Drosophila melanogaster: one gene and its partners. The protein of the gene in region 1 interacts with the protein of each later gene in a pairwise test. Each region holds a gene or a part of one and is shown in the gene's direction. Other genes may lie near its edges. The genes, in order: CG15293, TfIIEalpha, l(2)05714 and CG40045.

Region 1 (4,839 bases):
GGACGAAAAGGGTTTGGGGATACGTGCAACGGCCTCCGAGCTCTGAGCTCTGAGCAAGGACTCCGGCCAGAATGGGGAGCAGCCACGGGGCCACGAACCTGGGACCAGGACAAGGACCAGAGAACCGGGCGTCTATCAAATTCCAATTTCGGTCCCTTTTTTATCCTCCGCTCCGTTGGCATTCAAGGTTTATGGCGTCTTTTTAGCGTAAATCCTGCATGGCCATGACTGAAGTCCGGTCCCGCTGTTGCACCATTCAGCGACCGTTGCTGGACCGTGACCTCCCAGCTCCCGAGTCTACATAATTCCATCCTATCAGTGGAGCTACATCTTCAATATCCTATCTTCGTCACCCATACTTGGGCACATTCCTACCGAACACCAAAGGACCTAGAGGTACACTTTTATTTTGTTCATGCCGCAATAACATGTCGTTCATTTTAACGGCTATTTGGAACTTCACTTGATAGAAAGTTTTGATTTTCGCAGTATTTTGCTGCTGATTACACTAGGAAACAGTAATATATAATATTGATATTTTTTCTATGTTTTATGTTTTCATCTTTCCTTTTAGCTATAAAATAATATGTGTAATCAGTAAGGCCATTCACGGAAGTGAACTGTTTGGAATCAAAAAAACCAAACTAGTTGAATCATTGCTCACCGCTATCAATAGCTTGGGATTACACTTGCAATAAAGAAATTCAAAGCTCTGTAACTAAAATTTTATTGGCGGTGATGAGCAATTTGCATTCCCGGGTATACCCAACATGTTTTATTGTGAATTTTTAGATTATGAATACTCATTAAATGTCAATTTAAGGCGCACTCTCAAGCTTAAAAACCCGCAGTACTGAACTATTCCTAATGGCTGAGTAGAAACATATAGTTGGATGATGAGTTTTTAAGGCTGAGAGCGGAGTGACTTGTTTTTCAAGTGAAAAGCACAATTTAGACTGCAAAAACCGGTCTTTTCCGCTGGCAAATGGCAGACAACAATTCTCAGTTCTCATACGTGATAAGCTTACATTATTTATGAATAATTTTTTTATTTTAATACGAGCGAAGTTTTGAGTTTTGTAAATTTATTAATATGTATCCGCATTTAAAGGGAAAAAAGCTTAAAGTTCCTTTCAAGATGGCTTCATTCTCTGCGTAAACAGCTGTATACGTGACTCTAAGAATAAATCTAAATATATACTATATATATATATATACATACAGCGCGATTAGTATCGATCGTCAATTGTGCGCTATGCGGAATCAAGTTCAGTTTCAACTAGGTACTCGAAGCGGTCGCATGTTCCGGTTTAAAACAAAGAATGAATTTCGAAAGTCATCTGATTGTTTGCATTAGTTTGCTTCTTCAATTACGGGTAACTAACTTAATATCCCAAACATACAAAAAATATTACTATTTTTCCCATTTGCAGATGGGAGCAACTATGCCTATGGAACGGCCACTCCCCCCCTCTGTGTATGCACAGGCTAGGCATTGGAACGTGCTTGAAACAGTCGTAAATAATATGCGGATCACTAAAAGGCCGTGGATAGTTACAAAAACTAAACCGTGCGGTGAGGTGATTAGGGAAACCTACATGTTGAGCCCCAACGAAGAGGAACTCATAAGGAGAACGGAAGTCATGCTCTTGCAAGCTCAAGGAAAATTGGAATGTTTACTTAGCCAGTTTCAACCGACATTACGACTTGGCAGTGTCTACAATAATCCCTTTCTAAACCCGGTCGGTTTTGGTTTTCCTGACTATAACGTCTTCCAAAATTTTCCGTTTATCCCGGAATTTAAGCCGCAACGTATTCCTCCCGAAGAAGATCGCAGTAATGAAAATAATCCTCGCCGAGAAGATCCGCGGGTAAATGAGCAGGATGCGTGGAATTTACGCCCTCAAGACGTCCCCAAAGAAAATGAACACATTCCCAATAGTGAATCGGATAGTGATAGATGGCTGCCAAATCCAACATCCACACACCGGCCTATCGTAACTTTGCCTACCCTGGCACCCCCAAACTTGAAGGATACGGAGCCCATATGGGTTCCAGTCCCAGAACCAACATCAACCGAGCGAAGTTCGGTCCCGCTGCCCACGCTCGCACCCAAAGGCGACGGAACTGACTCGACAATCGATGACTTTTTGGCAAAGGTGGATCTCACTGTCGCGGACATCAAAGAGGAGGATGGCCAGGTGGTCACCACAATCGTGGACAAACAAGGACGCGTTCTAAGTGCCAGTTTTGCACTGAGCAATGAGAACGAACAAGGGGGTGCGGCAAACTATCAAAGTCGCACTGGAAAATGATATACATAAATAAAGAGATATGTGAACAAGAAAAGCTCAATTTAAATTAACAGAAAAGTTTAGTATAAATAATATAAATAAATCTATGTTTACCGCATTGAACCTTCTTGTAGTGGCAATATAAGTATTGAAAACTTATATAGTAGTTTCTTGTTCATTACAGTATGATTCAACTTCTAAACGCAATTTAACAAAGTGAATTTCCAGGATCCAGAAGCAATTTGTTATAAGAAACTTATGAAGAAACTACAATATGTTTTTATGAAAGCTTTGGGAAACGCATTCTGTTAACACTCTTTGATAATGGCGACTTTGCGAAAACTGTTGATAACCTTTGAGTAGACACTGCGAATAGAAGCGACGAGGTCAGTCGATTAGAATTCTAAAATCAGTTCGATTCTGTCGATCGAAGTATTCACAAGTGTCGCGGAAAGATCGAATATGCAGTACTCCTATCTACTGGCAATCTGTGTCAGCTTGCTGCTTCTGAAGCTGAAGGTAGGTCATGGAAATCTCCAGAAATCTGAAACTGACGTCATCTTTCGCTCACAGGGAGCAGCTGCCACTTCTTTATCCGCCGAACCGACTCCGGAACTTTTGAATGCGGCCAAGCAAATAGGTTTAGATGAAGTTGGCTTGCGAGAAATGTGGCACAGCCAGCAGCCGCTGGTTATCAGAACTCAAAACGATGCTGGTCAAGTCACCACTTTGACCTATGAGTTAGGTCCGGATTTCAGATCGATTTTAAGACGCAAGGTCTCAGAGGGAATACTGCCTGCTAGGCTAGAGGATAATTCAGGCTCTAAGCCCCAGCAAGATTGGGAGTATGTGCCGAGTGCCGGTCGTCAGTTCCGTCCCATTGGAGATTCCAACTTCGGTACAGGTAATTTCGAGACAAAGATATTTAGCACTGAATTTCCGAGATTTCCGAATTGGGAGCTGCCAGCGGGAGTTACTCCGAAAGTTACAACCAAGACGGAAACGGATAGCTCGGGACGCAAGGTGACCACCACAACTAGAACTTATAGCGGCATTCTGGTCCCAGGCAGTAATGTATTCAAGCAGATATTCCCCGACATCTCCAGAGAGCCTGGTCCAATTAACACAGACTCAAACCATCCAGCCGAGAATCCTAACACCTCAGTCTTTTCCCCATCTCGTTCCCCATCTACTGGACCTATTGATTTCAACTATGTATATAATTCCCGACCAAGCCAAAGGGAACCCGTCTTTGTGCCAGTGATTGACTCAACCACCACGCAGCGGACTTCAGTTCCCCGGTTCAGTTCAGCATTACCAAGAGACGACGGATCAGATCGAGTCATAGATGATTATTTGAAACAAGTGAATCTGAGTGCCTCAGAAATTGAGAATTCGAATGGTGAAGTGGTCAAGACTATTGTGGATAAGAATGGCAGAATTCTAACTGCCAGATTTGTTCTAAGCTCAGTCAAAGGAACCAACGAAGGATCTCAGCAGCAGAGGCCGACCAAGTAAATAGCTCATTATAAATATTAATATATGGAAATCATCGCAATATTTTGTAAACAATGCTTAGCGCAGTTTAATAAATAAGCTTATCAGCCTGGGCTAAACCCAGAAATTGTAATAAAATTTCTAAATCAATCTATCACTGAAATATAACCTTTATATATGTAGGTGGGAATTTGATAAGGGTGTCTGATTTGATACATAACTTTCAGTTTAATCGAAATGGAATGGAAAATATTGTACAAACTTACCTGCTTATATATATATATATATATATTGGCAAATTTAAATATACATATGTTAGCAACTACAAAGCGCTCTAAATTATTCAAAAACTACTCGCATACATGTGTACATTTTGGGAAATTAATAATTCTTTATTTTCAGATCGTTGGCCAAATTAATTAAAAAGCATTAATAGTTTTGTATAGCTAATTTATTACAAACATTTTTTTTGTTTTCGCTAACAACTGAGCTGTAAAAAATAAAAGAAAGGAAAAATATAATTGGGATAATAAAAAAATCAACGAAATAATATAAAATAATAACATTTGGAAACTAAGCATGATAAACAAAACATTTCAGCAAGGGAAAAAAATACTTGCAGTCAAAAATAATTCAAGCATTAGGAGATCAAAATTATAAATATATAAAAAACGCAGCGCGGAACGAGAAATTCAATTGGAATTTCACGGCAAACTGATTAAAGCACGTCGAAAAAAACTATTGCATAATTTTGTGCGCAGCTCAGTGCAAAACGCATTTGGTGGCCGAAAGCAATGTGTTGGTCATGGGTGATTCGGTTGCAGTTCTTTGTAGTTGTGTGGCTGACAGCCTGGTGGTAGTTGTTCGGCTGACAAAAGTGCATTTCTGTCATTGTCTTTCTCGCTCGTTAGCATTGCATTAGTTGGGTTACATTTATAAGCCAAGCATGTCAGAGAAAAAAGAAACTAGATTAGTAAAAAAATGTTGTTTTATCGAGTGGAAATGGTGTGGAAATCGTGGTAAAAGCATTTTTTCTTAAGTCTAAATA
Region 2 (5,202 bases), on another chromosome or scaffold:
CTTCCTTTTGCGTTCCGTATTCGCAGCGGAAAACACACAAAAACACCGAAAGAAAACACACACGCGAACGGAAAAACGAAAGCCGCAAGAAAGTCCGCCGTCTCGCAGACAGCGAAGGAAACTGCAGTAAAACGTTGGGAAAGCAGAAACACAAGTTTTTATTTGCACGCTTTTGTCGCCTGTAATTGTTGTGGCCGCCGTTGGAAAATTGTCGAGCGGAAAAGCGTGGAAAACGAGCGTTAGCGCGCACGACTCAAAATTCAAACTGCAGGCGGATGCCAACAGCGAAAGTGGAAAAGCCTTTTTCTGTTTTCCCCGCAACGAACGAGAGAGAGAGCGAGAGCCTGCGCACTGCCCGCTGCTCTCTCCCTCGCGCGCGGAAAAGAGCTTTTCCCATGGACGTAGTGCTGTAGGGTATCTATTGCTTCCTTTTCGGAAAAGCGTCTAAGCACTTTCGGCCTACTCCCCTGTCTGTGTCCACTTTTCTCGCTGAGTCTGCGCCCTGCCCTCCGCTGCAAGGTAAACAAGTTCAGGAGGAGTTTCCGCGGAGTAGTTTCCCACCCTTTGAGCGACTGGGCTTTTCCGAGCCATTCAGGCAACTCTGCAGGCTGGACGCCCGTGGGTGTTCACGTGCTGCAGTTGGCACTGTAAACATTTTAAAAGTTAAATATTCATTAATAGCAATATATTTTTATTTAATATTTCAATTTGTACAGAAACTAAATTACAGCATACATATTAGGATAAACCATCTTGCAAATAACTGAAGATTTGTTACAGTAAAGATTAAGATACCACATTCAAACGCGTTTCAATTTTCATTCATAACAACAAATATTTATATATGTATTTCAAGAAAAACCTTTATAAAAATTTTAAGTTAGAAAAGCGACAAAAAGTCAACTTATTGCAGAAGAAGTGAAACAATAAAGGCTAAATTTTGAGTTTTATATTTAGTTTTAATACTTTAAATGCTAATTTGATCATTAGTCAATGAAAGAATCTTTTTGATAGGATTTCCAGTTAAACACGAGTTTTTTTTTTGCAAAAATAATTTCTTTGGAAACTGATTCGTCGTGTTCCATAAATTTGCCTATTTTCTGTCTGTTGAATTGGCATTTGTAAACATGGAGCAGCTGATTCGGACTTCGCATTGTGCGTCCAATTATATCCATGACATTCATCGAGGACAACAGAAGTGTGTTGGCTGCCAAATAAACACGCAAGGAGACGTCTGCGCCCCCGACCTCTGATCCCGTGGAAAGTCCACCCCCGCGGCGGCTGCTTGGCTTCTGCTTGGCTTCTGCTCCTGTAGCCATGGTATTTTTTATGTGGGCGAGCCTCGTTCCGGGGGATTACACCGGAATGCACTCGAACGCAAGGCGAAGTTCGCATTAAAAAATAGACGACCCTAGACAGCGGAGCATGAAATATTAAGCACTTCGAGCGGATAAACAAAGGCGGCGAGAGGACGACTTGTTGGATTATTTTCACTCATTTCTGCGGTCAAAAACATTCAAAGCAAACAGCGCTCAGATGCGAAGTTGTTAGTAAAGCCATTGCACAAACATGTAAATGTAGTGCGTTCAAATCTGGCAAATTCCGTAGTAGTAAAAAGTTGTTAAAAGGTTATTTGGTTTCTAAAAAAATTGTTAAATGTATAAACACATTTCTACAAAATGCTTTCGAGTTAACAACAACATTATTGGTTTAAAGTAAATATAGCTAAATTATTTTCGTATTATTAAATTCTTCGCTAAATTAATGTCTCTAATAAAATGTTTTTCAACGCTACGTTTTTGAAATGAGTTTTTCAAAAGTTTGGTGTGGCAATGCCCTAAATTGTGCGGGCTAAAAATCGGTTTGAAGCGTAGCTACCCTTCTATCCAAGTGTTTCACCTAAAGGCGAGGCTTATTTAGGGGTTTTCGCGTTGCTTCGAGGACTTTCGAAGGAATTTCTTTGGCCACATTGCTGCACAAAGAAGAATTTGGCGGTGGAAATTTTATTTTTGCCGTGGAAAATCATACGAAATACGGGCAAACAGCGAGCAGATGACTGCCGGTAGACCCATGAAGATCCACGGACCCACTGCCTGCATTGAATAACCGCAAAGTGCTCTGCTTCCGGAGTTCCGGTTTCGAGAGTCTGGTAAGTGGCGTGAGGAGAGCACTCGCAACAAAAGGAAAAAATCAGTTTATATATATCTTAATAATGCCGATCCTCCAGATAAACACACAATGTCGTCGACATCGACGGCTGCAGCGAACGCAGCGCCAGCGAAGACGGAGGTGCGGTACGTGACCGAGGTGCCCAGCAGTCTGAAGCAACTGGCGCGCCTCGTGGTCCGTGGATTCTATTCCCTGGAGGATGCGCTTATCATCGACATGCTGGTGCGGAATCCCTGCATGAAGGAGGACGACATCGGCGAGCTGTTGCGCTTCGAGAAGAAGCAGTTAAGGGCCCGGATAACCACGCTGCGCACCGACAAGTTCATCCAGATCAGGCTTAAAATGGAAACGGGGCCGGATGGTAAGGCGCAGAAGGTCAATTACTACTTCATCAACTACAAGACCTTCGTGAACGTGGTGAAGTACAAGCTGGATCTCATGCGCAAGCGTATGGAGACGGAGGAGCGTGATGCCACCAGTAGAGCAAGTTTTAAGTGCTCTTCGTGTTCCAAAACATTCACGGACCTCGAAGCGGACCAGCTGTTCGACATGGCCACGCTGGAGTTCCGGTGCACCTTCTGCGGCAGTTCCGTGGAGGAGGACAGCGCCGCCATGCCCAAGAAAGACTCCCGCCTAATGCTAGCGCACTTCAACGAGCAGCTGCAGCCACTGTACGACCTGCTCCGTGAGGTGGAGGGCATCAAGCTGGCGCCAGAGGTGCTCGAACCGGAGCCCGTGGACATCGACACCATTCGAGGACTGAACAAACCCAACGCCACGCGACCGGACGGCATGGCGTGGTCGGGTGAGGCGACGAGAAACCAGGGCTTTGCCGTGGAGGAAACTCGTGTGGACGTCACCATTGGCGGCGACGACACCTCGGATGCGGTGATTGAGCGCAAGTCGCGCCCCATTTGGATGACAGAGAGCACTGTGATAACCGACACGGATGCTGCCGATGGCGCGGCCGATGCGGTGCAGACGGCAAGCGGATCTGGGCATCGCAACCGAAAGGAAAACGAGGACATCATGTCCGTGCTGCTGCAGCATGAGAAGCAGCCGGGCCAGAAGGAGCCGCATATGAAGGGTATGCGAGTGGGCTCATCGAACGCCAACTCTAGCGATTCCAGCGACGACGAAAAGGACATCGAAAATTCCAAGATTCGTAAGAAGCACCAACCATTTCTCGATCTCATCTTTTATGGGTTCTAATATACGTTTTTGTACTTGCAGCTGATGTCGACTTCGACAATTATATCAACTCAGATTCCGCGGAGGAGGACGACGATGTGCCCACTGTGCTAGTGGCTGGACGACCGCATCCGCTCGACCAACTGGACGACAACCTGATAGCCCAGATGACGCCGCAGGAGAAGGAGAACTACATACACGTATACCAGCAGCACTACAGCCATATATTCGAATGAGGGCGTCTGCAATTAGCCACGATTTCTACGTTTTCCACGAGTTTCCCATCTCACGCATAGAGTCATTGTAATTTAAGTTACCCACTAGTTCGAGCGAATGTGTACAAATGAAATGCGTATAAAAATGTGCATAAACAAAGACCGAGTTTGATACTGGGAAATATTTTGAGCAAAAAATTGTGTATTATAATTTATAGAAGCTATTGGACGTTTTCAATAATCTTCTAAATAGACAAATATTTTAAAATACATTAAAGCTCGTTATTTTCGCTTGTAAGCAAGTGCCATCTCTAGCTGGACCAACTCCCATCCCTAGTCGGTCCAATCAGCTGTGTTTGCCATTATTGTTTTTTTTTTTTCTTAGGTTTATTTAAGTGTTGCTAATAAAAAACCGAGCGGCCGGGCGCCTCTTCTTGTTCGTCGGTGGGCGTATTCAGTTTATAATAATTGGTGTGCCGCAGATAAGGCGGATTCGTAAACAAACGACGGCAAACACAACCAAACATGTTGACACTCGGCTCGTAACGCCAGCGGCTCCATTCAGTCGTGTTTTGGATGTCCATCTAGCCGGAGCCCTCGATTTCCGCGGACTGTGCGTGGTGCGGCACTCAATTCGTGCTAAAAGTGCGACAAGTTCCCTTGCACTTCGAATAGCCAACGAGCAAAAGTGTTGATTCTTTGAAAGGAAAACGGATTAAACCAACTCAGCGGATTCCAATTGGAGCAGAAACGTGATCCCGCGTGCAAAAACACACATGCAAAATAAATAACAACACCTGCTGGCTGTGTGAGTGTGCAGGCACATGCTCTTTCTGCTTGCCCTCGCATTTTTTGTGAATGAACTGAAAAACGCGCTAGTTTAGCACCGATAGTATTGATCTTTGTGCCGCGGGTCAACGTAATTACGCCGAAATGAAGGCCACCATCGATAAGGAGCTGCTGCCCATGAAGGCGCACTACTTTCTCTTCAACGCCGGCAAGTACCCCTTCCCCATACCTAGCAAAACCATTAAGTTAAGCACCGCGCATCGCTTACATCAGCCGATAATGTTTTCTCGTTTTCAGAGGCACGCACGTGCTGCATATATGTATATATATGTATATGAGTGTGTGTACGTACATCCATATGTACATACATTTAGCTGTTAATTGCGAACTTTTGATCTGTAGCTTCGATTTCGTCACAGGGCACTTATGCATTAATGAACATATAGAGCACCATGTTCGAAGATAAGGCAATCACCCGCAATAGAGAACATAGAGCAATGAAAGTCCAGTTAAATAGCGATAAGCTAATGCAGGCAGATTCGGGTTACGATTCGATTCCCATCGTATGATGCAGCACTTTGCTGGCTTTTAATTACAATCGGAGCAATTCCATTACGTTTATGTCGTGTAATCGAAACTTAATTAGCTGTAACCCTTATAACTTTGAGCTGTTACAAAAAATTCAATTGTCTTGTATCTACTGATATGTTAGTGTATTTTACAACCATTTAATATCCATATTTTATTAAAAGTACGCCCATATACACATACATACTAAAACAGCAACAATTTACAATTTTCATACGATTAATATTTTTCGTGGAAATAATCTCCTATC
Region 3 (5,099 bases), 9.1 Mb from region 1:
TTCCCTGATTTTGGCTAGGCCAACGGCGCTCTTCCTCTTCCTGTTTGGAAAAAACAGCTGTTCGTATGTGAATGGCTGGCAGCCAGGGTTGCCAGGTTTGAAAAGTATTTCGGAGACAGAGCTTCGTTCAATTTAGTTTTGTGAAATTTAGAAATGCTCGGCAAAAAATTGAGTTTCGAAGTAGTTCAACTTATTTATTATAATCAATATATGAAACAGTGCGCCAAGCCATACTCCGGCATAAGTACCATTCACGAGTAGCAAGAAATAAATTTATGCTGTCGGCAATTAAAATCGAAAAGCGGCTTACTTTCGCTATCAGAATGTAACATGTAAGTTACTAATGTATTAACAATTAAATATCCTTGAAAGAAACGCGATTTATTTTGACTACGTATAAAGCTTTTAGCAAATGCAATTAATTTTTTGGAAATTCTCACGCGGTTAGCCCAGCCTTGTTCAACCTGGCCTTAATCGTGTTTATCTTGAGCGGCAACAGCTGGAGCATTTCACGCACAACACCAATCTCGCCCTGCAGCGTCTCGGCCGCCTCCTTGTGCAGCTGGCAACCAGCATCGAATCTCTGGTAGTAGGTGTGGCAACTAGTTAGGTGCTCCAGCTGCTGGAGCGGATGGCCACTGATCAGCTTGTAGTAGATGCGACCGATGTGGAAGTGGGCGTAGAGCATGTGGCGTTGCTCCTCCACGTCCATGTTGGGTCGCCATTCCTCGCTGGGCGGTTTGACCAGATAGGATTTGACATAGCTCTCAAAGTGCTTGATGGCCTTCATACAGCTCTGATTGACCTTCTTGATGTCCTCCGGCGCTGGCGTGCTAGTGGCCCGAATGATGTCGAGACGGACATCCATCACGGCAGCATGAGCTGTGCCGGCTCCATACCAGCATTCTCGGCATATCTTCATGTAAAAGATGGGGTCAAGCAGATCCAAAAGATCTTCCAGATACTTGGCGCGACGCTTTTGCATCTTGGCCTGGTTTTCTGGATTCTCCTCGAAGAAGGCAATGTGCTCATACGCTTCGGCGTAATCCTGCATTATCTTTGAATACTCAGTAGCTTCGTTCTCGGCCTTGTAATAGTCCTTGGCTATGTCGAGCCACTCGTTCACAAAATGAAACACCAACTTGGCATCGTCGAAGGTCAGGCAGTATTCACAACTAATACGATTTTCACACGCGGTGAGGTCAAGTCCAGGAAACCGGGACTGTTCCGCCTCGACCAGCCGCATATTGCGCAGAACGATCTCCAGGTTCTTGGCATCCTCGTCATCTTCGTCCCGCATCAGCCGAAGCTTGGATGTGTTCATTAAATACAATCCATATTTGGCCCAACAGCGTGCCACATCGGCGTAGCGATGTTTAAAGGTCTCCGACACGTCCTGGCGCTGCTTCTCGCTCATCTCCGGCTCCAGCATGTGCACCTCATATTCGGCCATGATGAGCGTAGCAGCGGCCAGGTGATGACGGGCCTCCTCGAAGCGCTTCTCTCCAATATAGAACTGTGACAAGGTGGCGGTGTTCAGTGCGAAATCAATGGGATCGTATGTTTTTGACTCAAGCTGTCGATGGAGGGTGCGATGGCAGCACTTGGCCGACTTTTCCGGCTCACCCAAATGCCCGTACATTTGCGCCATGTAAAATGAGACTAGCGTGTACAGGGATTCCAGTTCCTTGGGACCAGCTTCGTGAGATTGTTGTCCCTCCTCCGGAGGATTGAACACATCTTGAATGGCCAGGGGCTTCAGACCACTGGCTTTGAAGTCCTCGTAGATTTTTTCTGCCTCCAGGAGAATTTCCAGTCCCTTATTGTACTCTTCCTTGGAGGCCAGCACAATGCTAAGCTCGTTGATTGCCCCAATGAATGGAATGATGCCCTCAGGGCACTCCTTAAACGGCGTGACTAGTTCCAGACAACGATTGAGCATCTTTTCGCCCTCTGCCTGCTCCTCTGTGTAGATGTAGATCCTGCCTAGATCCCGGCAAACGAAGGCCAACAGAGAGTGATAGCAGCGATCGTCCTGACCACCGTCCTCCTCGCTGGCCTGCACAGATACCAGTTGGTCGTCCAGCTGCTTCTTCAAGACAATTAGCACATCGCGCGCTTTATAATGGGAGCGGAATGGATCCGTGGGCGGATCATTGCGGCTCTCCTCCTCCACCAGACGGTTGGCCTTCTCGTATAGCTCCTTGAAGTCGCTTAGGATCTCCTTTGGAATGACCATGTTGGCTGAGCACCCACGGTGCAGGCAAAAGCTATCCTGAATTCGGCAAAGCCTTTTTATTTACTATATTTTTTCTCTATGAGTGTGTAGTGTGGCCGTATTGTGACTGCTTAAACTTTACCTGAGACCCAAACCATGAAAGAATATTTTATTTAAAATCTCAAACTAAATTAATTTGAACTATGTACAAGTAAGGTATTTTCAAAAAGTACATAACACAACCATAAACGCCTCTAATATAAACTTGAAGGCATAAAATGTTTATATAAACAAAACAGCTTAGTGTGACCGTTGCGCAGCAACCTCTATGTCGCAACCCTGGAATTAATTGCTGGTATTATAACGTATTCGATTACAGTCACACCGCATCGACTTTCAGATTTTTTTCGCGTCGCAAATTTTTGGAATATACCAAAATATTTACCACCATCAGCTATTAAAGACTGCTTTTGGCGCTCATCTTTCAAAGAATACTTTTCCACAAATCAGACAAGCTTCATCCGAAAGCGGGCACAATGCTGAAGGGTTACAAGACGGATGAGGACAAGAAGGTGAAGCGACTGTACCACCAACGCTATCGCACAGAGTGGGAGAAATATCCGGAGCTCTCCAGCTGGCTGGCGTCTAGTAATGACGGTTACTCGGCGCACTGCAAGATCTGCGACATCAATGTCCTCGCCAGACTAGCGTCCATCAAGCAGCACCTCGCAACGCGGAAACACCAGGAAAGTTTCAAGTACCACAACATTCTTGCCAAGGTGGGATTGGGTTTGTGCATAAGCAATAGGAATGACCCGTGTCCATTATTGATTCAAATATTTTGCGATCCAAACTAAATTTCAAACACGATTTTTGTGTGAGTTTTCGCCATACTTTTCGTTAACTATTCCATTGACTACTTCTTGTGCAATGGTTAACCAAACCAGTAGCTCCCTCTATGCGATGCACAACTTATCGCTCCAAAAAAAAAATTCTCATCTCATTACTAATTTACATAAAATTAACAACTCCGTATTTATACCTACAGAATATGATTAAGGGTGAACTTGTCAAAGATGAGCATGACCCAGACTTGGAGGCCTCCATAATTTCACCCAAAGCAAAGCCCAAAGCCAAATCAAAGACCTATCCAAGGCAAAAGCCAAGGAGCAAAATGCAGCCAAAGATCAAGAACGACACGAAGGTGGAGAGCATGGAGGAGGAGACGGAGGAGGACGAAATCGCCTCGAACGACTCAATCCTGGATGATTTACTCAGAACAGATCAGCCCTATCAAGAGCAAGAATTTGAGGTTGAGAACGAGTTCCTCGAAGTACAACAGAATGAAACAGATCTCCAGGACCAAGAGGTGGTCTACGAGGAAGAGATGATACAGCTCAAGCCGGAAGATACGGAGATTAATAACGAATACCAAGTCGACGCGATGACGGAAGACACCATTATTAGTGAATTTGACTTGTTTGGCAAGAGTTTGGCTCTGCAGCTGAACAACATGGACCTGGAGGACGCACTAATGTGCCAGGAGCGTCTGCAGGTGGTCCTAACGGAATTTCGCCTGAAGGTGCTCAAGCGCAAGAGAGAGCAAGCACGATCTTCGTAGGCTTACAATTTATATCAAGCTGTCTTATGTACATAATATAATTTCTTTAACAACTAAATAAATAACTATTCTGCCTCAATTTCGTCAATTAGCGCCCGGCACTTTCTCTTCAATACCTTGACCGCCTCCAGGAAGATGACATCGGGCTTCAGTGCGCCGACTGATTCCACGGAGAAAATGTAGTGATCTCGGATACGGGCCAAAGTCACAGCGTCGTTTAGCTGGGGATAGCGATACACATTTCGGCTGCACGTGTCGTAGCGTGCATCCTTTACATAGGCAGTTTCATTCTCGTCAATGCCAATTACTCCTGGTGAGAAACAGTTCTGTAATAGGTACGCATCCTTACCGGTCACCTCGCGGTTCAGCTTAATCATGGGCAGCAGTCGGTAGGTGGCCGTGGCCACCGGCGAGAATTTCGCGTGATCCCGTCCAAGTCCCTTAACCGCCACCAGGCGCAGATCCAACTCGTGACCCGGACGCAATTGGGCAATCAGTATGTCATCGTGAATGCAGTTCACAGCACTCTCGCTGTATATCTGCGCCTGCTTTCCTTTGGGCAGCCACTTCAGATGACCCGAGTACACTTTGTGGTTTTTGTAAATGTCATCGAAGTTGGACTGATCTTTTCCAGCATCCCGTCGCCGCGAGCACTTCACCTTCAGCTCAAATTCAAGCGTATCCTGCTCGGTCCCCGCCTCAGTGCTTTCCTCGGTGCGGTATGCGAATAGACGGGGATCAGCCCGCAACGGAAGTAGACCCATTCGATGGGCAAGTACCTCGTCCTGGATGATCGAGGTGTTGTTGTATATGTACACCTTTTCGATGGCCATGCTGGGCACATCGCTGAGCATCAGGCGACGGAAGGCATTTGCAATGGCGGGATACACGCCAATCAGATCGAACTCCAGGCCGTCTTCGTCGTTTCTAGAAGTGAACACCAATTGTTAATCGACTCGTAAGATTCTAATTTCTATTGAGATTTACCTGACGATTTTGATGTGCAGCTTTTCCTTGAAAGCCTGAACGGAAAATACATCGTCCGCCAGTCCATAGTCCTGCGGATCCTGCTTCACCCGATACTCCTCCATGTACAGAAGCGGCTCCTTGCGATTTTTGCTTGCCATTTGCCCCGGTGTTTTTATTAAATAATTTAACAAAATTGAACCGCACGTGTTGGAATCAATAAGACCGCCTTCTAATACCAAAATATACCAAACTAACTAACAAACTAACTAATATACTAAATAAATATACTTT
Region 4 (9,359 bases), on another chromosome or scaffold:
GGCTACTAGCACATTCGCGCTACCGTCCTATCCCGTAAACCGCCATCAGCAACACACCCCAATTGTGTTTCGTCCTAAAGAAATAACTAAAATAATCAAAGACAATCTCAGCCCGAAAAAATCCCCCGGCTACGACCTTATAACACCGGAAATGATCATCCAGCTGCCACATTCTGCAGTTCGCTACATAACCAAGCTCTTTAATGCCATCACCAAACTTGGTTACTTTCCACAACGATGGAAGATGATGAAGATCATAATGATTCCAAAGCCTGGTAAGAACCACACAGTCGCTTCATCTTACAGACCAATAAGTCTACTCTCATGCATTTCGAAACTATTCGAAAAATGCCTGCTGATCCGACTTAATCAACATCTGATATACCACAATATAATCCCAGCCCACCAATTTGGATTTCGCGAAAGCCACGGAACCATTGAACAGGTGAATCGTATTACAACGGAAATAAGAACTGCATTTGAATATCGCGAATACTGTACAGCAGTATTTTTAGACGTATCCCAAGCATTCGACAAAGTCTGGCTCGACGGCCTAATGTTTAAAATTAAAATATCCCTACCCGAAAGCACACACAAACTTCTAAAGTCTTACCTCTATGACAGAAAGTTTGCAGTGCGGTGCAACACTGCCACTTCCACTGTTCATACAATTGAGGCTGGAGTCCCCCAAGGCAGCGTTCTTGGGCCAACCTTATACCTCATCTATACAGCCGACATCCCTACAAATAGTCGCTTAACGGTATCCACATTTGCCGACGATACAGCTATCCTTAGCCGTTCAAGGTCCCCTATCCAAGCTACAGCACAGTTGGCACTGTACCTCATCGACATTGAGAAGTGGCTCTCTGACTGGCGAATAAAAGTAAACGAGCAAAAATGCAAGCACGTGACGTTTACGCTAAACAGACAAGACTGTCCTCCGCTCTTGTTGAACAGCATACCACTCCCGAAAGCAGACGAGGTAACGTACCTAGGAGTACACCTAGACAGAAGACTCACATGGCGCAGGCACATTGAAGCCAAAAAAACCCAACTTAAACTCAAAGCCAACAACTTACACTGGCTCATCAACTCTGGTTCTCCGCTCAGCCTAGATCACAAGGTCTTGCTCTACAATTCTATATTGAAACCAATCTGGACCTATGGCTCACAGTTATGGGGCAATGCCAGCAACAGCAATATTGACATCATTCAGCGAGCACAATCAAAGATTCTGAGAACCATCACTGGGGCACCGTGGTACGTTCGGAGTGAAAACATCCAAAGAGACTTAAATATCCCATCAGTTACCAACGCAATCACGGAACTTAAGGAAAAATACCATAGCAAGCTTCACACGCACCCCAACCACCTAGCGCGAGGTCTAATCCAGCTCAGCAGCCGTTCCCGTCTCCGGCGAAAGGACCTACCAACCCAGCGAATAAATTATTAGGGCCGTTTAAACATAGAACAGTTGGAAAAATAATACAACTGTTCAAAAAATACTTGTTATAGTTAAGATTTTTAAACTTATTGTTAGTTCTTATACAAGAAGATTCAATAAATAAAAGCAAAGTAAAAAAAAAAAAAAAAAAAAAAAAAAAAGTTAAAATAATGATGAAATTAGTTTTAATGCTGTAAGATCGCCTACATAAATAATAACTGCTAACATTCCCCTGTTGAAGTTTGTCGTTAATAACATATTTACACATTATTCATAATTAAAGTAAATATAGATATAAATCGGCAATATATTCGAGCGGAGAATTTAACAATAGAGTATAAAAAATCTTCGTTAAAATAATTATAGTTACGGCATATATTTTTTAATAATATTTCATCCTGTCATATTGCAACGACATTGGCCAAAACTCGAAATCTGTAAATTTGTTTCTTAGATCAAAATTGATATCGGCCCGCAAACCGATAGAAGAGTGCGTAGAAAAATAAGTGGGACTTAAAATATTGACGAGAACCACAGTGGAACCCAGCCAATCTATTTAAAAACTCATATGGAAAACAATTGGTTCTTACACTGAATATGCGTTTCGCGATTTTTAAAGCATTTTATACGTTTGTTAGGGATAGGGTTAAAAAATATTCTTGCATTTCAATGTTTTTTGGTCGGTATCGTATATGTGGGCAACTGCTGTAACTGTAATCGGCTCACAAAAGCTCTGCAATAATTTATTTATGTTGTTATTAATCATAGCTTCAATACCATAAATAAGAAAATTATAAGCAAATTAATAATATGTTGTTCATTCAATAAACTTGTTTATTTCCAATCCAATTACAGTGGTTTGTTATCAAGAGCAAGCATGTTGTCTATTCTATTCTATTTTGAACTTGTGTTGGTATTTATAAATTTTAATCCTCATAAATTTTGATAACATATATTTTTAAATAAACAAAAGAATACAGAAAGGTTAAGGTAAGGATGATATCTACAGAACTTTTTACAAATTTAACCGCAAAGTCTATTGGCATACATTAAACCGGGCTTAGTACCAGCCATACGGCAAACTCTGCTGGCAATATGTGATGATATTAACCGTTTTTCTTCATTTTGGGATTGCCCCTTATATTTTTTTTGTAAGTATAGGATTTGTATATATATATCCCCGGTACCTGTTAGCCAACCAGAAGCAGTCAAACGTAGTGTAAATGTAATATAAGTGTAGTTGGAAACAAGTGTTATTGTGTCACATTCGTCTTCACAGGAGCTAGATCTGTGTTAAACTTGTATAACTAGTTCTTTTTTATGTTTGGCCTTTATAGAAAATTCGGTGGTCGATGTCGATCATTATATTTACTTTCAATACTAACTTATTTTTAAGCATACAATTTTTATTTGTGTTAATTACTTGTGCGTTAAACTGAACCAATTCATTTATCATACAACTTAGAATGTCTGAACTTCAGTCATCTTTACTGTTAAAAAAACAATTGGCAGGTAAGTTTAACAACTTCAAACGTATATAAATGAGCAAGAATGTATATATAAATGTTTTTACATATGTATATGAAATTATTTTTCCAGTCTTGCACATGTGGTTTTAAAATTGGTGCAAAAACCATAAGCTGGCAATGCTCAACCAAATACATATATTATGTGTAATATGAGTGCACATATGTAATTTGTAGCTTAAATATTACCTATATCTTAAGGTAATTTTAATAAATTCTTGTTCTTTTTTGTAAAGTTAATAGTATACTCTTACATAGGATAATAAATGTGTATATGCGCCAATACATATATGTGTAAATATTTGTGTCTACCCTTCTTTTTAAAAATCTCGTGGTATATATTATTATGTACTCAAATTAATGATAAAATTTGAGCAGGAGTTTGCTTAATATGCCGAAAAGATAAATTTATATATGTGTATGAAGGTACACATAATATATATTACTTTCTAACTCTAATAAATGCTTACATCTACACATATGTGTGTATGTATATACAAATTTTGGTAGTGTTCCCTTCACTGCCTTAAATTAAAATTTTTGGAAAGAAATTGTTTTCTAATGATTTAGACATTCAACAACACTTAAAGACTTGGCCGAATGATAGATATATTATTATCATATTTTTGTTAACACTCTACAAAGTTATGGTTAATTGATGTTCAAGGTAACCTAATAAAGCATTTATGTTATTTGTAGGGTTAAACAATGTTCATTACAACCTTTACAATGCTTAGCCCATTTCTTATTTTCAGCCATTAATCGCGAATAGCATTTTGCTACAGGGGCAACAGTATTTTAAAACAAATGAAACCATATACTTTGTTATTTAATCGAACATGTCAACAATGGAATGAGCTTTTTAAATTCGTTTGACTCATACTACTAACTAAAAAATGTATTTATGTATGTATATGTGATTTTTTATATACATATGTATGTATATGTTTATACATATGTTTTTATTCTATAATAAAAATTATTAATTTGTTAATTTGTTTGTGATCGCTAGAGGGAGTCACTAGCATCTACATGCTTTATTTTATCTTTCTATAATTTTCCATCAAGATCTCGACAATCATAAGGACGGATAGACAGATATCGCTAGATCGACTCGAATAGTGATCATGATCTAGAAATATTTACGTTTTAGAGTCAGATTTACTCTTTTTCACCTGTTTCAAACTTTTCATATTATCTTAAATTCATATGTGCAGTTGAAACAACAACCCTAAGAGAGCGTGCATTACGCACACACGTATATTTAAATCCATAAGTGGATTCAACCTGTAAGAGACTGGACATAAAACTTTACTGTACATCGCCGAATCTTTAAATTTGTTGTTTACTTTTTGTTCAGTTTATTGTGGGTTGTAATTTCTATTGAAGTTTCGGCACGTCGACTGTAATCGCCCAACCACGCCAAACTTTTTTAAAAAATATGTTCTCATTTATATATTTTCCCATTTTTCATGTCAATTTTTATCGATTTGCCAAAAGAATTTTAATAGAATATAGAGAATATAGATATAATATTCTTGTTTTCAAATAATTTGACAGTCCAATTCTTTTAGTCGACCATCAGAAAACTGAAAAATTCTTACTTGTGAAACATGCTAATTTTACAGAATTATAGAATAATTTAAATTTCGACTGGGAAACCAAACCATTTTTCGATGGTGGGCGTGACAGTTTATTACGGCTTGTGGGCATTAGATTACGCAAAAACCAGTGGCAAAAACCAAAAGGAATATGCATGTTAAATTTAATTTTCTAGCTCATGACAAATTATCCTGAATATACATACATATATACTTTTTACGATCAGAAACGGTACCTTCTACTGTTATATACAGTTTAACAAATTTGACATATCCTTCTTTTCAACGTCTAAGTGGTATAGTCATAATCCAAAATAAAATAGGTCCTCGCCGAACGTATTTAAAAAAATACAACCTACGGAACCAGATTGTTACACGTGATTACTAAAAATTAATAATTATTTTTATCTTTTCAGAACTAAACAAGAATCCAGTGGAAGGATTCTCCGCTGGTTTAATTGATGAGAATGATATATTTCGCTGGGAAGTTTTAATAATTGGACCGCCAGATACACTGTAGTATGCTATGAACATTGTATTCTTTTTCGTTTAAAAAATCATATTTATGCAACAATCACTGTAGACGCTATTCCAATCAATGTACGTCAAAGCGAAAACTAGACATACATGAAGCAATGAAATTCTGTTGTGGCTGTCCCATTGACACCAACAAAAACAAAAGAGAATGCTCTAATCGAGTTCCCCGACTATCAGATACCCGTTATTCAGCTAGAGTGAAAGCGAACGCGAAATTTCATAATTTTTTCTGAGATATCGATAGATATTGAGGAATAAAATGAGAAAACAAATTATAAAGTTGTTCAAAAGGGTGGGCGTGACCGGTTTGACGGCTTTAGGGCGTTAGATTAGGCGTGCCAAAAAGTTTTGATAAATTGATAAAAATTTACAAGTCTTATAAAAATATGAAAAATATCCAAAACATTTTCAACAATGTGATCGAGGCAGGTTTGGGCGGTTTTAGTGCGTAAGAGTGGGGGCACAAACATTTTTTTTCAAATCGATAGAAATGTACAAGACTCATAGACTCATTTTAAATAATGGTTTAGACATAAGAGAGTTGAGATTGGGCATGCAGATGTAGAATCAGAAAACATTGATTTCCACTCACAAAAGCGTAGCAACCATCTTAAACAAGCTTAACTTATAGTTCTGAGATCACAGATCAAAAATTTGAGAAAGCTGGAGCCAGCTTCAGAGACAACATCAAAAAGTCGTGTGCGAAAAAAATCGTATGACGTTACGCAATTTGTTATTCTAATGTCTTCAGTTCATAAGTGTTATTACAAACAACAATTTTTTGTTGGGTTCGGGGTGAGTAAAGATCGCGAGATTTTTCGATTCTACAGCCGTGTCTTTTTCTGTAGGAGTTTGTCCATCACTACATTTAAACCAATGATGAAATTTCAATGTTTTATGTGCATACGAGCATAATTCGAGAAGTACTACGACATGAAGGCATTCAGGGAATGCTTCTTTATTCATTCCCTGAAATGCCTTTGTAAGAATTCCCTGAAAGGCTTCTCGATATCATATGTATGTACATGTAATATTAGATGTACATTTGCGGTAACAATAATAGCACCATAAGCACATTTCGTGTTTGTCCCATCGTTTCTGTATTTTCTGACACTTTTTCATTATTTTACTCACTAAACTTAAATACTACAATGATTTTCAATCGAAATAACGAAATTAGTAACAGATCTAATGGATATTTTAAAAATAAGTGGTAAAACGAAAAAACCTTCATATTTAGGCGGTAACAAAAATAGCACTGTTTCTCGTAGTTTGCTAAAGCTAACCAAAAAAATGAAAAAATAATTCAACAAATGGATTATATCTTAAGAACTATGTTTAAAGAATCTTAATATTTGGTTGCGTGACCTTTGGTGCCAATGACAGCCGCCCAATGTCTTGGCATGGAGTCCACCAAGTCCTGGCACCGTTATTGAGGAATTTTGCTCCCTGAATCCTTGACCACACCCCAAAGTTCCTCGTTATTATTGGGTTTGACTTCAGAAACCTTTTTTTCACGTTCGCCCAAAGGTTTTCGATTGGATTCAAGTGACTGAGCAGGCCATTTCATTACTCTTATCGATTTCTGCTCTTTCGAGCTTTCTTGCTCGTCTGTTTTGGGTCGTTATCCTGTTGAAATGTCCAAACCAACGGCGGTGGACGCCGAACATAAGACCGAGAGCCTTTCCCACCAAGCAACACAATTTTGCTCTCATCTGACCACAAAATGTTGTGCCACTTCTCCACAGGCCAGTCCTTGGAAATCTTGTCATATTCGATTCGCTTTGCGACATGCTTAACAGTCAAAAGCGGGACTTTTCTGGGGCTGCACGCATTAAGGTTGCTTTGTCCTAAGCGTTTGCGAACAGTTTCCACGCTTTTAGCTATCTGAAGCTCCTTCTTCCATGTTTCGTTCTTTTCGACAAACAGCAGTGCTTTGCGGATCATTTTGTTTCAGCAACCGACAATGCGACCAATTTCAGAGTAGGTTTTACCTTCAGAGATCATGTTTTTAATCAAATTTCTTTTTTCGACGGTACAATGCTTTCCGCGACCCATGACTAGAGAATTTTTGGTCTTCGTTTGGAAAAAATTCAATTAAAACCTTTAGTGCAACTCCGTTTTTCAAAATTTGTCGAAAAAAAACCAAAGTAATCACCCCTATTAATTTTATTCAGCAAATACGTGGTCAGTGCTATTTTTGTTACCGCCTCATTTTGGGCACTTTTGCAGCAAGTGCCCAAAAACAAAAAAGAACCGTTACATTGAAAGAGTAAAAATTTCTTGCTTAGAGATGCAACATATGGTACTTATTATTCATGCAATCTGACTTTAAAAAAAATAAACATTTAATAATTTTTTTTTACGAAATCAACTTTCCACCTGCAGTAGTGCTATTATTTTAAACGCAGCTGTATATACAAAAGTTACGCTTTAGATTGGCCATCAAATAGTCCAGATCTAAGTCCCATAAACAATTTTGGTGGCTAATAAAAAGAGATCTTTGAAATGAGCCACAAAGGAACATTTCGGTCTTTAAATGAAGTTGTAAGCGATGTGAGACTCGATTTCTCGAGGACATTGCCAAAACTTTTTAAAATCAACGCCAAAACGTGTGGCGACGTTATACAATTCTAATATTAATAAATTTGTTATATTACGCAGCGTTTGAATTAATAGTGGTTATTTTTTCTTATCTCTTAAGTCTACCTTTTGAGTAAATAACTCATATTTTTGTTGTTGAAACTAGATCAAACTGCTGAACAAACTGCTATAGTAGTATTGAAAAAATTCGCCTACTGTTCAGATTAATAGTGGTTGGGGCTCGTATGCCCAGTAGCTAATGTTTAATCAAAGACACTAGAATAACAAGATGCGTAACGGCCATACATTGGTTTGGCACTATGCAGCCACTTTTTTAGTGACGGCCAAAATTGCTCTCTTTCTGCTCGCTTACGCTGAGAACGTAAGAAATCTAAAAATAGAATTTGCTTGCTTGTGTGACTTAAATGCGAAATATTTCTTTTGAAATACTTTTAATGTTAAATGACTTAATAAATATACTAAATAATTAAAGGAAGTACAATAGAAATTATTATAACTACTGTAATTTCATAAATTTCATAAGAATATGATAACTGTTTATTGCAAAAGTCATATCAAAGACACTAGAATTATTCTAGTGTCTTTGCTTTGGTCATATCTTATCAACAAGCATTGCCTTATTAATTTTTCACACGCCGCAAGATGAATACTCTAATGACAAATATTCTTATATAAAGTCAATTTTTAAATTTATTTTGTGATAATATGTACATAGATTTGGCTTTTTCTAATCTATTTTCAAAAAACAATAATAACGTTAAGGCAATGCAAAACAAGAATTTTTCGAATGGTGCCAATTGATCAAAAATAATATAGATTTAAAGTCAAAGAACTTCTAAGGTGAAGGGCATATTTTGTCAAATTAAAATGCATGAGCATACGTGTGCACACATACAGTTGTCTGCTATCACTTTATGCGCTGAAAAGACCTGTTCGCTGTAGCGCTCTCCGCTCTCTCGCTCTCTACCAAAAATTCGAGAGAGCCTGGAGCCACCTCTAGAGCCACGGCGAAAAAATCGTGTGCCAAAAAATCGTATGGCGTTACGCATCTTGTTATTGTAGTGTCTTTGCTTTAATCCTACAATACGCCTCCATGGTCAGCTGGATAATGTGATTTCTCCAAATACAGTAATGAAAAATGCAATTATTTACTGCACAGCTCCGTATGCTACAAGATTTTTCGAGCAATCGATGCTCACCAAATTGGTGAAAACTGCTTACTCCATTTAAAATCGTAGCTCCAATATAGAGTATACTACTGCGTTATTCTGGTCCCTCCAAGCACTTAAGCTGGTCCATTCCATTTCCATTTCAAAAGACCATAGAGGATGGAACCTTTTATAATTTCACTGCATAAAAAATAAAGCAACTCGGATATTACCTATTATCATTTTATAGCTAAACTAAGTACCTTCCTTTAAACGTGTACTTACTAAAAGACGATCATGAGTTCACCACCTTTGTTGGCCAAGGCCGCCTGTCAGGACCGTCTTCAGGAATGTTTTTCAATCGGTTAATTATAACCTACTGTTCACCAAGGTACATCTCTGATTTCCTTCTGCCCGCTAATATGAATTCAATCCTACTTAACGAACCGTATTCAAATATAACATATTTGGAAATAGGGTGACTGACTGTGAAGTCTCG

What was found.
Region 2: the proteins of CG15293 (region 1) and TfIIEalpha interact in a two-hybrid assay, tested with the Drosophila melanogaster proteins (one large-scale study listed by BioGRID).
Region 3: the proteins of CG15293 (region 1) and l(2)05714 interact in a two-hybrid assay, tested with the Drosophila melanogaster proteins (one large-scale study listed by BioGRID).
Region 4: the proteins of CG15293 (region 1) and CG40045 interact in a two-hybrid assay, tested with the Drosophila melanogaster proteins (one large-scale study listed by BioGRID).

The regions. Positions count from the first base shown.
Region 1 is NT_033779.5:14,107,169-14,112,007, reverse strand, and holds CG15293 (uncharacterized protein), read left to right. Parts: upstream 1-2,560; 5' UTR 2,561-2,756; coding exon 2,757-2,813; intron 2,814-2,867; coding exon 2,868-3,812; 3' UTR 3,813-3,951; downstream 3,952-4,839. Other genes in the region: CG31769 (uncharacterized protein), read left to right, coding at 1,323-1,376, 1,434-2,315.
Region 2 is NT_037436.4:11,680,074-11,685,275, forward strand, and holds TfIIEalpha (transcription factor IIEalpha), read left to right. Parts: upstream 1-1,964; 5' UTR 1,965-2,149; intron 2,150-2,227; 5' UTR 2,228-2,238; coding exon 2,239-3,334; intron 3,335-3,402; coding exon 3,403-3,596; 3' UTR 3,597-3,732; downstream 3,733-5,202. Other genes in the region: Sugb (sugar baby), read left to right, coding at 4,509-4,572.
Region 3 is NT_033779.5:4,968,952-4,974,050, reverse strand, and holds l(2)05714 (lethal (2) 05714), read left to right. Parts: upstream 1-2,565; 5' UTR 2,566-2,754; coding exon 2,755-2,997; intron 2,998-3,266; coding exon 3,267-3,839; 3' UTR 3,840-3,904; downstream 3,905-5,099. Other genes in the region: CG14043 (uncharacterized protein), read right to left, coding at 437-2,239; Polr1C (RNA polymerase I and III subunit C), read right to left, coding at 3,905-4,766, 4,827-4,966.
Region 4 is NT_037436.4:24,025,768-24,035,126, forward strand, and holds the start of CG40045 (uncharacterized protein), read left to right. Parts: upstream 1-2,747; 5' UTR 2,748-2,910; coding exon 2,911-2,956; intron 2,957-3,043; exon of another isoform or gene 3,044-3,171; intron 3,172-4,987; coding exon 4,988-5,090; intron 5,091-9,110; exon of another isoform or gene 9,111-9,210; coding exon of another isoform or gene 9,211-9,251; intron 9,252-9,359.